Linked DNA regions of Caenorhabditis elegans. The protein of the gene in region 2 interacts with the protein of the main gene of each other region in a pairwise test. Each region holds a gene or a part of one and is shown on either strand. Other genes may lie near its edges.

Region 1 (3,997 bases), on a different chromosome or scaffold from region 2:
CTTTTGAACAAGGTTATTTCGAATGGTAACATTATTACGAACTCGGCTGGTCCGTTTCCTTCGCCGAAGTGTTTTCATCCAGCTCCTGGCTCGTATCCACTTCCATCAATTCTCCTGGTTCCATGGAATCACTGCAAAAATAGGACATGATGAAATATATATATATATATATATATGAATAAAAGCTTAGGAATTTATGAAATTTACACTTCGTTTGCAGCCATTTTCAGCTTTTAAGAAGACAGTAATGCAAAAATAAAACGAATTTTCAGAAAGTAAACGTGCCGCGCGTTTTGTCCACGTGGAGAACAACGTGGATACGCAAACACTCGAAGAACTCTGCGTACAATACACCATGTGCCCGCTTACAGTACTCCAGAAAATAAAATTTATTTTTCATTGCACACTTTTGTGCTCTGATTTCACTAATCATATGTAAATAAAACATTTATTTTACTTTTAATAATTTAAGAACATTTATATGATTCCAAGCCGAATGGACCATACGTTTCTCTGAACACTTCAGTTAATTGCGCTGTTTCTTGTAAGGACAAGAAATTTGATCATTTCTGTAATTCATGATTATTAAAATGATTCCTTCTGTCATGTGGTCGTTTTAATTTTGTGCAGTTCTGAATAATCTTGAATTGAAGAAAAAGGAAATAACTTTTTTTCAGGAATTGTAAAAGTCGTTGGAAGCAACAAAAAAAAATACGTACAATTGCTGTATATCACAGGAACGTTTAAGAAAATATAATATTAATTTAGTAGTAGGAATGAGGACGTGGATTTTAGAATTTTCATCGTAGTTTATATGCGTTGAACTATGTTGCCGGCTGCTGAACGTCCTCACGGTAGAATGTTGGCTGAAATTTGTATGTTTATTGAAAGATTAGGCAATATTCAGTATACCCGGCTCTCATTACTCGATCGTCCACTACCATTGACCTCGTCTTCACTATCCGAGGAGGAATCCTCATGGTGCAAGCGATTTCCCGTTTTTGGTTCACTTTCTTCTTGTCCTGGTGTGGCACTACTCAGACTGTCAAAGCACTGAAAAATCATGATATTTAGACGATAAAGTGTCAAACTTCACCGTACATGATCACAAACTCGGACAGGCTTCTTATGTACATTGTCAATACGGAATGTTCTCGATGAGCAGGCGCCACACACGACACGTCCACAATTTCTGCAGTGATGTCTTCTTTGAACCAGATTGAATTGAGTTTTCCCGCAGACCATACACTTCACTGCTTCACCATCGGGAACCCATACAGCTGCGTGAGCAGTCGCGGCTTGCTTATTTCCTGAAAGTAGAAAATTTTGATTGTATTTTTAATAGAAAAAAATAATTTATCTAAAAAACCGTTTTAATTTAGAGATATGGTGATTCCCAATTTTTTTGTAGAACGTATATTATTGGTCATTTAAATATGAGAATTTTTCACCTATCTTAGGCGCATGGGTCTCGCCAGGCGGACAACAAATTACTGTAACTTGTCGATCTATGGACCAATTTTGCATCACAATTTATAAATTAAATTGAACATTGCTGCCAACATTTTTTTAAATAAAAAGACCACAATGCGCCTAAGACTTATTTAAGCTTAATATTAATTAGACGAAAAATGTTGCGATTGTTGCATTAAAAATACGGTTTTCGGTCTCGAAACGACAAGATTTTTTGAAACGGAAAATGGTAAGCGCCTTTAAAGATTACGGTGGTTTCAAACTTTCTCTGCAATTTTTTGGTGGAAATTTTTTGAAAATAATTTTCGTGTATTACCTCTTTCAAGGAGATCTGTAACGCATCTCTCAATATGCAACATCCATTCTCGTTTTTCAGTTTCAGTTGCTGCATAAACTGCAAACGATTTTGCAGGTGTCTTAATAATCCATCCATGTTTCTCAATTCCATCGTCTTCCAGATCTTCTACTTGTACACCTTCCAATCTTAGAATTCTTTGCTTATTATATCGCTTTTTCGAAATCACAATGTTTCCATATACAAGAATATCATTGAACAAGAAGAATTGCCGTTGCTTCGGTTTCTTTCGGCACATTTTCACAAGAACACCTTCTCCGACAAGAACTCGTCCGAATACCGACAATTGTTCTCCCATTTTTCCAAAGCATTGTTCTACGTTAGCCATTCGACGGGAATTCACTTCACTATTCACTAAAATTTAATAAATTATTTTATAAAAGAAAATAAATAAAACTTACCAAGTCGATCAACCATTGTGTTTTGTGATTTAGAAACGATGGAAAGAATCCGCTGAAAACTTTGAATATTTCAAAAAATTCATAAATTTAGTTCGAGACGAAGAAGGTTGAAAATCATAACAAAAAATTATTTTGAGTGAGAACAGAATAAGAAGAGAGGGAAAAGGAATGTGATGAGTCATCATACACTTTATGTGCAAACAATCGGATGGACAAGCCAGTGGACCGCTGCCTGAACGAAAGAAAAAGAATGCAATGAATAAATTGTCACGAATGAATGATAAGAACAACTGGTGGCCTGGAAAAAAGGTTTCAATTAATTTTATTACTTTTTTGAATAAGATTTCGGATCTTAAATATAGTTATGCATGGTATGGGAGCAGATTTTGTAGGTTTTCCTTCTAATTAACAATAACAATCTCAATATATTTACCGAAAATAACTGTAACAAAATTACAAAATTTGAACATTGTTTTAAATGATTTTTTTCAATTTTGGAAAAAAAATGATTAAAAAGGCTAAACTTTTTCTGAATTCCCGCGCAAGTGATCTACACAATTTCGATATTTTTTGCTTTTTCCGGCTATATTAATTGGGGTTTCTTTTTATTTTATTTTGTTAATCTAAAGAACTTCTCTGAAACTCTAAATCTGGCCTCAAATCAATAATGTAAACTTGTTTTGCGGGAAAAAATGTATGAAAGTTTTACAAAATTATGTTTCGAATCAATAATTTAATAAAAACCTTAATAATATAACCTGAAAACGTCGAAACTTTAGGAATTCGTTTGCGCGGGAATTCAAAAAATAATTCAGCTCGTTTTTAAATAATTTTTAAAAAAATTTGCAATCATAAAAAATTCCATCACTTTCTAAAAAATAAATTCGGCAAAAAATCCCTCAAAACCTATACCATCTTTTTAATATTCACAGGTTTCTCGAAATAATCTGATTAAACATAAGCCAATTAGACCAATTTAGTTTAAATTGAGAAAACCGATATTTGCTGTGTGTCACCAATCCATCGGAAAGCGGCAAGAGTGAAAGAAACGCAGAGATAAAGATATAATTGATGACCAAAATAGAAGATTGTGGACATTCGGAACCATTTACAACAAGAGAGAGGTTGGAAAATCAAGAAAAAAGGTTTTATCATGGTAGTTTTGCGTAAAAATATGGAACAACAACAACAATTTTAAGCAACAACAATAATTCAACAAAAGGATTTTTCAAAAAGCCAATTCATTTAGCATGTCTTCTATTTCTTTTCCTGTTCTGATTATTTTTGTTCTTAGCAGTTCCAGAGTTATTCGACGACGAAATTTCATTCGTTGAAACCAAAATAACTTCTTCTTCAGGCTCCGGAACGAAGTTATTTTCGCGGATTTCTTTCAATTTGTCCATGAGATTTCTGAAGTTTCCCTTGCATCCAGTAAGTTCTTCTCTTGCTTCAAATGGTTGAATTCCGACGGCAAACGCTTCAAGTGGAGCAACAGGAGTAAGAAGAGAGCTACCAAACACTGGAGTTCCGATTAATTCAAACATCGATTCTCCTAGTTTTACATCTTTTCGAATCGGAGTCAAAAGGTGTTTTTCTTCTGTTGAAGCAGAGCCGTCGAGTATTATAATGGAATCTTCCTGGAAAAGTAACTGATATTGAATTTTTATTTTAATTTAATTTACTTCTCCCGGAGTATTGAACTTGTCAATTTTGATTTCATCACTTGTGATTACTATAACATCATCATCATCTTCATTAGCGAACTTTT
Region 2 (6,621 bases):
CGCTCTTCAAATTTTGACCACACGCAACATGACTCCATCTCCATTCATTGATTGGCTTTGGGGTGGACTCAATTATCAGGTACTTTTATTTCCAAATGCTTTAATTTCTTGTTTTCTTCTTCAGATCGAGCACCACTTGTTCCCAACAATGCCACGTTGCAATCTGAATGCTTGCATGAAATATGTGAAAGAATGGTGCAAAGAGAATAATCTTCCTTACCTCGTCGATGACTACTTTGACGGATATGCAATGAATTTGCAACAATTGAAAAATATGGCTGAGCACATTCAAGCTAAAGCTGCCTAAACAATCTGGGTGTTCAAAAAGTTTTTTCTTGTTTTTTTTAAATTTAATTCTTTGAAATTATTTGTTTTCCGTCATTCTTCCTCCATTCCCTTTTCTGGTAGAAATAAAACCTTGTTTTTCAATGTTTGAAAAGAGCTTCCCCCGAAGGTAGGCGCATTCCTATGTGCCTACCTCTCGACTGCCTGTCACCTTGATTTAAAATTGTGACGTGACTTCCAATTTATTCTCGTCGCCGAAATTTACTACATCTCGTTGGATCTTTTGAATTAAACTATTGAAAGGTAATATAAGAAATCAAAAAGGATTCACGTGTAGTTTGAAAGCCGGCACGAGGTAGGCGTAGGTAGTCTTGTATACAAGCAGATATTATTATGGACAAGTGGGAGGCTTGCATTCAAGCATTTTGTTACAAAATAATATTTTATTAAATATTCCAAATACATATTTACAAGCATAAAACAAATTATTCTGTAAGATTTACACCCTCGTTGGCATTAACATCGAGCCCGATCGAATCTCCTTTGGCTCATTAAGCCGGCTCAATTCATCTGGACTTACAGAAACCTCAGTTGAGTGAGGAACTGCTGGAGATGGACTGCGAGTATTCAAACCACGTCGATTTGCAAATCTTCTGTATGAATTTGGACGAAGACGGGATATTAGAGGACGGATTGATCGAGTACGTTTGAGAAGAGATTCGCCTGATAAGAAGCGAGAAACGAAGAGATTTAGGCCACTTTGGGATGCTGAAATAATTTTTTTTTGGATTTTTCGAAACATTAGTCTTAAGTTTTATATTCAATTGATTCAAGAATTTGTGCATTAATTTACCTTGCATCCTTTCAATTTGAGCATGAAGGCTCAAAATTGATACCAAAATTATTACCAAAATGACAATAGCAACAAAGTTGAACGCAATGAAAAGCCTTGAGTTCGAGGAGTTTGTCAAAGTGAGTAGAAGGGGGAATATTAAGTGTCCTGAACAATGTCCAGAGAGTAAAGTGAATGTGTTGTTTGCTGAAAAAAATTAAATTTGAAGTTTATTGATAGCCAGGAATAACTAACATTTTAGCGACAAGCTATGATTTATGTAGATCACAAGTGCAGGTAGAAGTGGCGCCAGGAAGAATCCAAAAATAAGTGAACCAACCAGAAGGAATTGTTCGGAAGCTATACAACAGCATCCAATTCCACATCCGAACTGAATTAGATATATATATTTTTTTATCATTCAAAGAACTTACAATTGAAACTCCAACCAAAAAATACGGAGCCATATAATCGGAGAAAAACAATGAAACTGCACGACCCCACATGAAAAAAATCTGAAAAAAATATCCTTTATATTTCTGAAATTGTTGCTTTTTTGATACCAAAAATAGCTGATAATAAAATATGGAAGCTGATGGTTGAGCAAGTATAAGAAATGGAAACATGGTGTACATTATATTGGCAATTGATGCAACAACTGAACATAGAAGTACCAATTTTAAACTGCTTACGTCACTTTGTTGGGTTAAACCTGAAAAATAATTATTGTTTATAGGCCTTTTATCAATACAAGGAAGTAGAAACTTTAAAGGTTGTGTGACTTGGATGCTTTTATTTTGGGATTAGAAACATAATACATTTGTTTTTATTTTAACTATGGTTTCTGGATTTTCTAAAGTCAGACTATCAGAAATCAAACTTCAATTAAAAAAAACTCACTTTGGCAGTTTTCATGATGATGGTTATTATTGTTATTATTTGTTTCAATATCATCATATTCTGTCCTTCTTATTGAAATTGATGTTTTCATTGAAACGTTGAACTCAGTTTTAAGGCATAATATTAACAGGGGAATTTGAAGGATTGCTGTCGCATAGAAAATGTAGTCTTGACGGAGTGATGGATTTAAATAGAATTTTTCGAGACTTGGAATGTGTGGTCCTGTTGGAAGAACTGGATTTCTTTTTGAATTACAATCCTCTTGATGTTCAGAAGGTGCCGATTGATAGAACATGACAGCGGTCACTGATCCGAATGCTCCTATGAGGTGGAGAAACTTAAAAATTTCAATTTTTGACTAATTTACTGTCTGATATTTTTGACTGAATTTTGAATGATTAAACAGAAGAAACAATGTTGCGTAGCATGCAAAGTGTCAAGAAAACTAAAAGAAAATGGAGATTGGTCCTCGGTAAAAAATTGAATAATATTAGGTTGAGCAAAAAGTCTTTGCAAAGTTTGTACTTTTCTTCATTTCTCAGCGTTAATTCATTTTTTTCTGTTTCTGTTTTTTTATTTGTTTAGTACGTAATGTGCATGTTTAATGCATTTGAAAAAACTTTTGGGTGCTGTTCAAAATGGCCGAGAATTTGCTCGCCGATCACCACGCTCTCCGAGGAGTTTTTCTGTACGAGTTCCTCCAAGGCCGCAAGTGCAACGAAGCTCGTCGTAACATGTGTGCAGTGTTAGGCAATAACTCTGTCACCTACAATACCATGAAGTTTTGGTTCGAAAAGTTCACGAAAAAGAACTACGATCTCGATGATAAACCAAGATCAGATCGCTCTCGTTCGGATATGGATGAGGATAATTCGAGAGTCCTGGAAGATGGTCCAAGAGCAACGAACCGCGAACTTTCTGCGACTCTCAAGCATCCCCAAAAAAACCATCATCAACCATCTCCATAGAACCGGAAGGGTGTCAAAGTTCGGTCAACTTGTTCCTCACAAATTGTCCGATTCTCAGAAAAATTGCTTTGCGACCTCTCTCTTTCGCTGCTCACTAGGAAACGAACGACGGACTGGATTAAGGATATCATTACTGGAGATGATAAATGGGTATTATATGTTAGCCATACCAGGAAAAAAGAGTGGGTCCCGGTCGAGGAAACCGCGAAACCTGGCCTCAAGTGAGAACTTCAAGGAAAAAAGTGCTTCTCTCAATTCGGTGGAACAGTAAGGGTCATTTCCAAAGAGCTTCTTCCAAACTTTGCTACAATCAACGCTGGCCTATACTGCATTTAATTGGAAAAGGTGGTCCATGCAGACCCTCAGAATCCAATTTTCGTCTCACCCACCGTATTCAACGGACTTGTCTCCTACTGACTACTATATGTTCCGCTCTCTCCAAAATATCCTTGCCGGGCAGAAGTTTCATGATCGAAAGGTCGTCGAAACGGGGTTGGACGACTTCTTTGCCTCATAATCGCAGGAGTTCTAGGCGGAGGGCACTGTTCAACTTCCATTGTGTTGGCAAGAAGTCATAAGCATTAATGGTAAATATATTACCCATTGAATCTTGTTCGCTTTGAAAAAATACTACTTCCAAAAAAAAATCAAAATTTTGCAAAGACTTTTTGCTCAACCTAATATCTTGGTTTGTCCCATACCTTGGGTTGTTTAATTGAACTTTTTTTACATCTTGCGGTTAAGTTCTACAAGACAGTCTTTAATAAAAAAATTTACCTGTAAGAGTAGAAAGCTTTGCTGCTTGAATATAACAACAAAGTTAGATATCACAGCAGACAACGAAATTCCAAGAACAGTGCCAAAAACAATAAACACAATACAAAGAAGTAAAATGATGTGAGCAGCATGTGGAAGAGCCAAAAAGCACGCGGATATCAGAATTAGACAGGTGATATACACGTATTTGAGTGAGAGTCTTCGAGATAAATTTGAATGAAAAACAGCTCCCAGAAAGATTGAACCATTGAATGCAAAGTGTAAATTGAAGAGATGTGCAGATGAAATCATTGAATAACAAGCTGAATGTGAATAGCTTAATGAAATGAAGGTCACCTGAAAATGACCGAATTTTCAGAGAAAAGACTGGAATTTGAATTACCGTGAATCCAATTAGAGAATATATCCATAAATGGATAATGAATAGAGATGGATGCTTGGATGCGGTCTCTTTTGCTTCCACGATTCTATCGAAAATTGGTTTCTGAAAATTAAGATATCACATGAAGAAATTTATTGGAAAGAAATTCTGATTTTGTAATTCTATGAGAATTTGGTTATTCTTTGCTGTTTTCTGTTACACAAAAGTTGAAGTAGTGTGAATGGGGATGTTGATTTTAAAATACCCTAAAGAGTCTTACAATCGAAATATCCACAAACGAAATACAAAAATGAAAAAGAATGAAATCCAACTTATCGAAACAATTAGTCTTGCACTTCTCATTTTGGAAGGAATTCAAGCAGAGAGATTAGTCACAATTGAAATTTTTTTTCATTCTTTCCAGCAAGTTTTTTTTTTATTCTGTGGTATTTCCTAATTTCAGAAAAAAACCTCTAACTATGGGACTGCACCTTTAAGCTGATCAAGCTAAAAGAAATTGCCGTTTCAAAAAATAAAAAGTTGGAATTTGCACATTAAAAAATCGGGGCAATATTTTTAAAAAATCCAAAACAAATTCATACCGGATGATAAGCTGGATCGTAAAAATCATTCACTTCTATTGGCATCTCAATTTTAATTGTTCAAAAATGGAACAGATACAGATATCACTCAGATATGAATATTAAAATAGCTTTCTCTTCAAATTTGTAATTTAAAAACGGCAATACAAATACTAAATAGAAAATTCGCTCACTACTGAATTATATGTTTTTCACTATCATTCTTGGAAATTCTATATATTCACATGAGACTTTTGGTAGCTATAGCGACTCACCATTGCTGACGAAATCTTCGAAAAAGCCATCCACATGTAAAGTACAATATTAAGCAAAAAGTCTGAAAATGAAATTGTTTGGTCAAGTAGAAAGTATTTGTAAAAACAGAAGTGTGACAAGATTATGAGATTATTTACACTCAAATAAAAAGAATAGTGTGATCATTTAAGCTTTATTCCTGGAAGAAATGCATGCGCGGTATTATTTTGCAAAAAATGTGAATTTTTCCATCCCATGTGTTACTATGAAATAATGAGTCACATAGCTATGTCACAAGAGTTGAGGATTAACAGTAAAATGGAATATTTCAGCACCAAAGTAATACTGAAAAATCAGGAAAAGCAGGAAATTATAAGGTTGGAATAATACCTTATTCTTTCTTAGCACGAAATAGTTAGCGTCATAACATATGTCAGTAATCTCTATTGTTGTCAAATTAGCTTTTCCGTTTCGAATAGCGGTTCAACGTGTAAACAGTAAACACGTTTAAGATGTTACAGAAGACCCATCAAAAATTAGTCTAACAGTTTCTATGATAATTTAGCTTTTTCGCTAAAATAATGCCAAGACCTTGAAAGTATCCTAATTATTTTAGTACACATACCTGCTAATCTAATTAGAGAAAATCATTTTTTGACAGGCTTCCAAATTTTTTAAATTTCAAAAATTTTGTTTGGGAAGTTTCCAGCCAGTTTAAACTTTTCGGTTTAGTTTTATTGAATTAGTGTTTTTGAAAAGAAGCTTCGTTATTAACCTAACTGGAAGAACTACAAAAATGAGAGGAAGTAGAGAATTTTAATAAGATTGATCTCGAAACAATCTAGAAGCAATCGTTGAGATCAATTTACAGAAGGCTTGGGATGCAGAAGAGATCATCTTTTGAAATGGCTTATCATTTGAGCCGTCACGCTTCAAAGCCAACGGAAATTAAAATAAGCGGTTTAACACAAAAAAAGACTGAAATCGATAGGTATCAGGAGGGTAATGGAAAAATAGGAAATACGCAGCAAATTGAATTGTCGGAAAGGATTACCGATTCGTAATTGTTTTTTCGCAGTTATTTGGTGTCTACCACTGCCCTATGAATTCTTACAAACTGCTCAATGCTTTCTGATCTTATTTTAATTTTCCAGTTGATCAAAGAATTTCAGTTCATTAATTGAATTCTAGAATCTAAGTTCAGCTGGAACTGATCGGATCAACTGAAAAAAGAGTTCATGCGTGGGATTTTCAGACATACAATTTATGTTTTGATATAAAAGAAAGAGGAGAGATTACTATTTATAGAGAAATTTAAAAAATGGAGAGGTGAGTTTTGATTAATCTGTTCTTGATTTGGATTCACGAACAGAATTTTTCTCTGATGAAATTATTTTATAACTGATAAAAATAGTTCATAAAATGTTCTTCCAGTGAGACATTTTTGCAAGCAGACTTTTCTTGCGAAAATTAGAAATTTAAAGTAGGAGTTCACAATGAGATGACCTTACACATAGGCCCCAAAATACCTGCCTTTTAGGCGAGGTACGCCTACTTCAGGTGCTGTAAAAATTGATAGGTAGAAGTAGAACGCGTGAAGTAGGCACCTGTTGTATTACAATTTCTAGAATTTGCTTATTTCGGGAAATCTTCTAATTTTAT

Evidence for each region.
Region 1: the proteins of dct-15 (region 2) and ZK632.12 interact in a two-hybrid assay, tested with the Caenorhabditis elegans proteins (one large-scale study listed by BioGRID).

Annotation. Positions count from the first base shown.
Region 1 is NC_003281.10:9,829,086-9,833,082, reverse strand, and holds ZK632.12 (uncharacterized protein), read right to left. Parts: upstream 2,282-3,997; 5' UTR 2,246-2,281; coding exon 2,230-2,245; intron 2,183-2,229; coding exon 1,790-2,182; intron 1,311-1,789; coding exon 1,102-1,310; intron 1,054-1,101; coding exon 913-1,053; intron 867-912; coding exon 825-866; 3' UTR 660-824; downstream 1-659. Other genes in the region: ZK632.11 (uncharacterized protein), read right to left, coding at 3,471-3,866, 3,912-3,997.
Region 2 is NC_003282.8:9,805,693-9,812,313, forward strand, and holds dct-15 (RGS domain-containing protein), read right to left. Parts: upstream 4,771-6,621; coding exon 4,726-4,770; intron 4,247-4,725; coding exon 4,145-4,246; intron 4,099-4,144; coding exon 3,763-4,098; intron 2,355-3,762; coding exon 2,018-2,354; intron 1,830-2,017; coding exon 1,681-1,829; intron 1,633-1,680; coding exon 1,552-1,632; intron 1,509-1,551; coding exon 1,373-1,508; intron 1,325-1,372; coding exon 1,139-1,324; intron 1,054-1,138; coding exon 785-1,053; 3' UTR 714-784; downstream 1-713. Other genes in the region: Delta(6)-fatty-acid desaturase fat-3, read left to right, coding at 1-79, 125-307.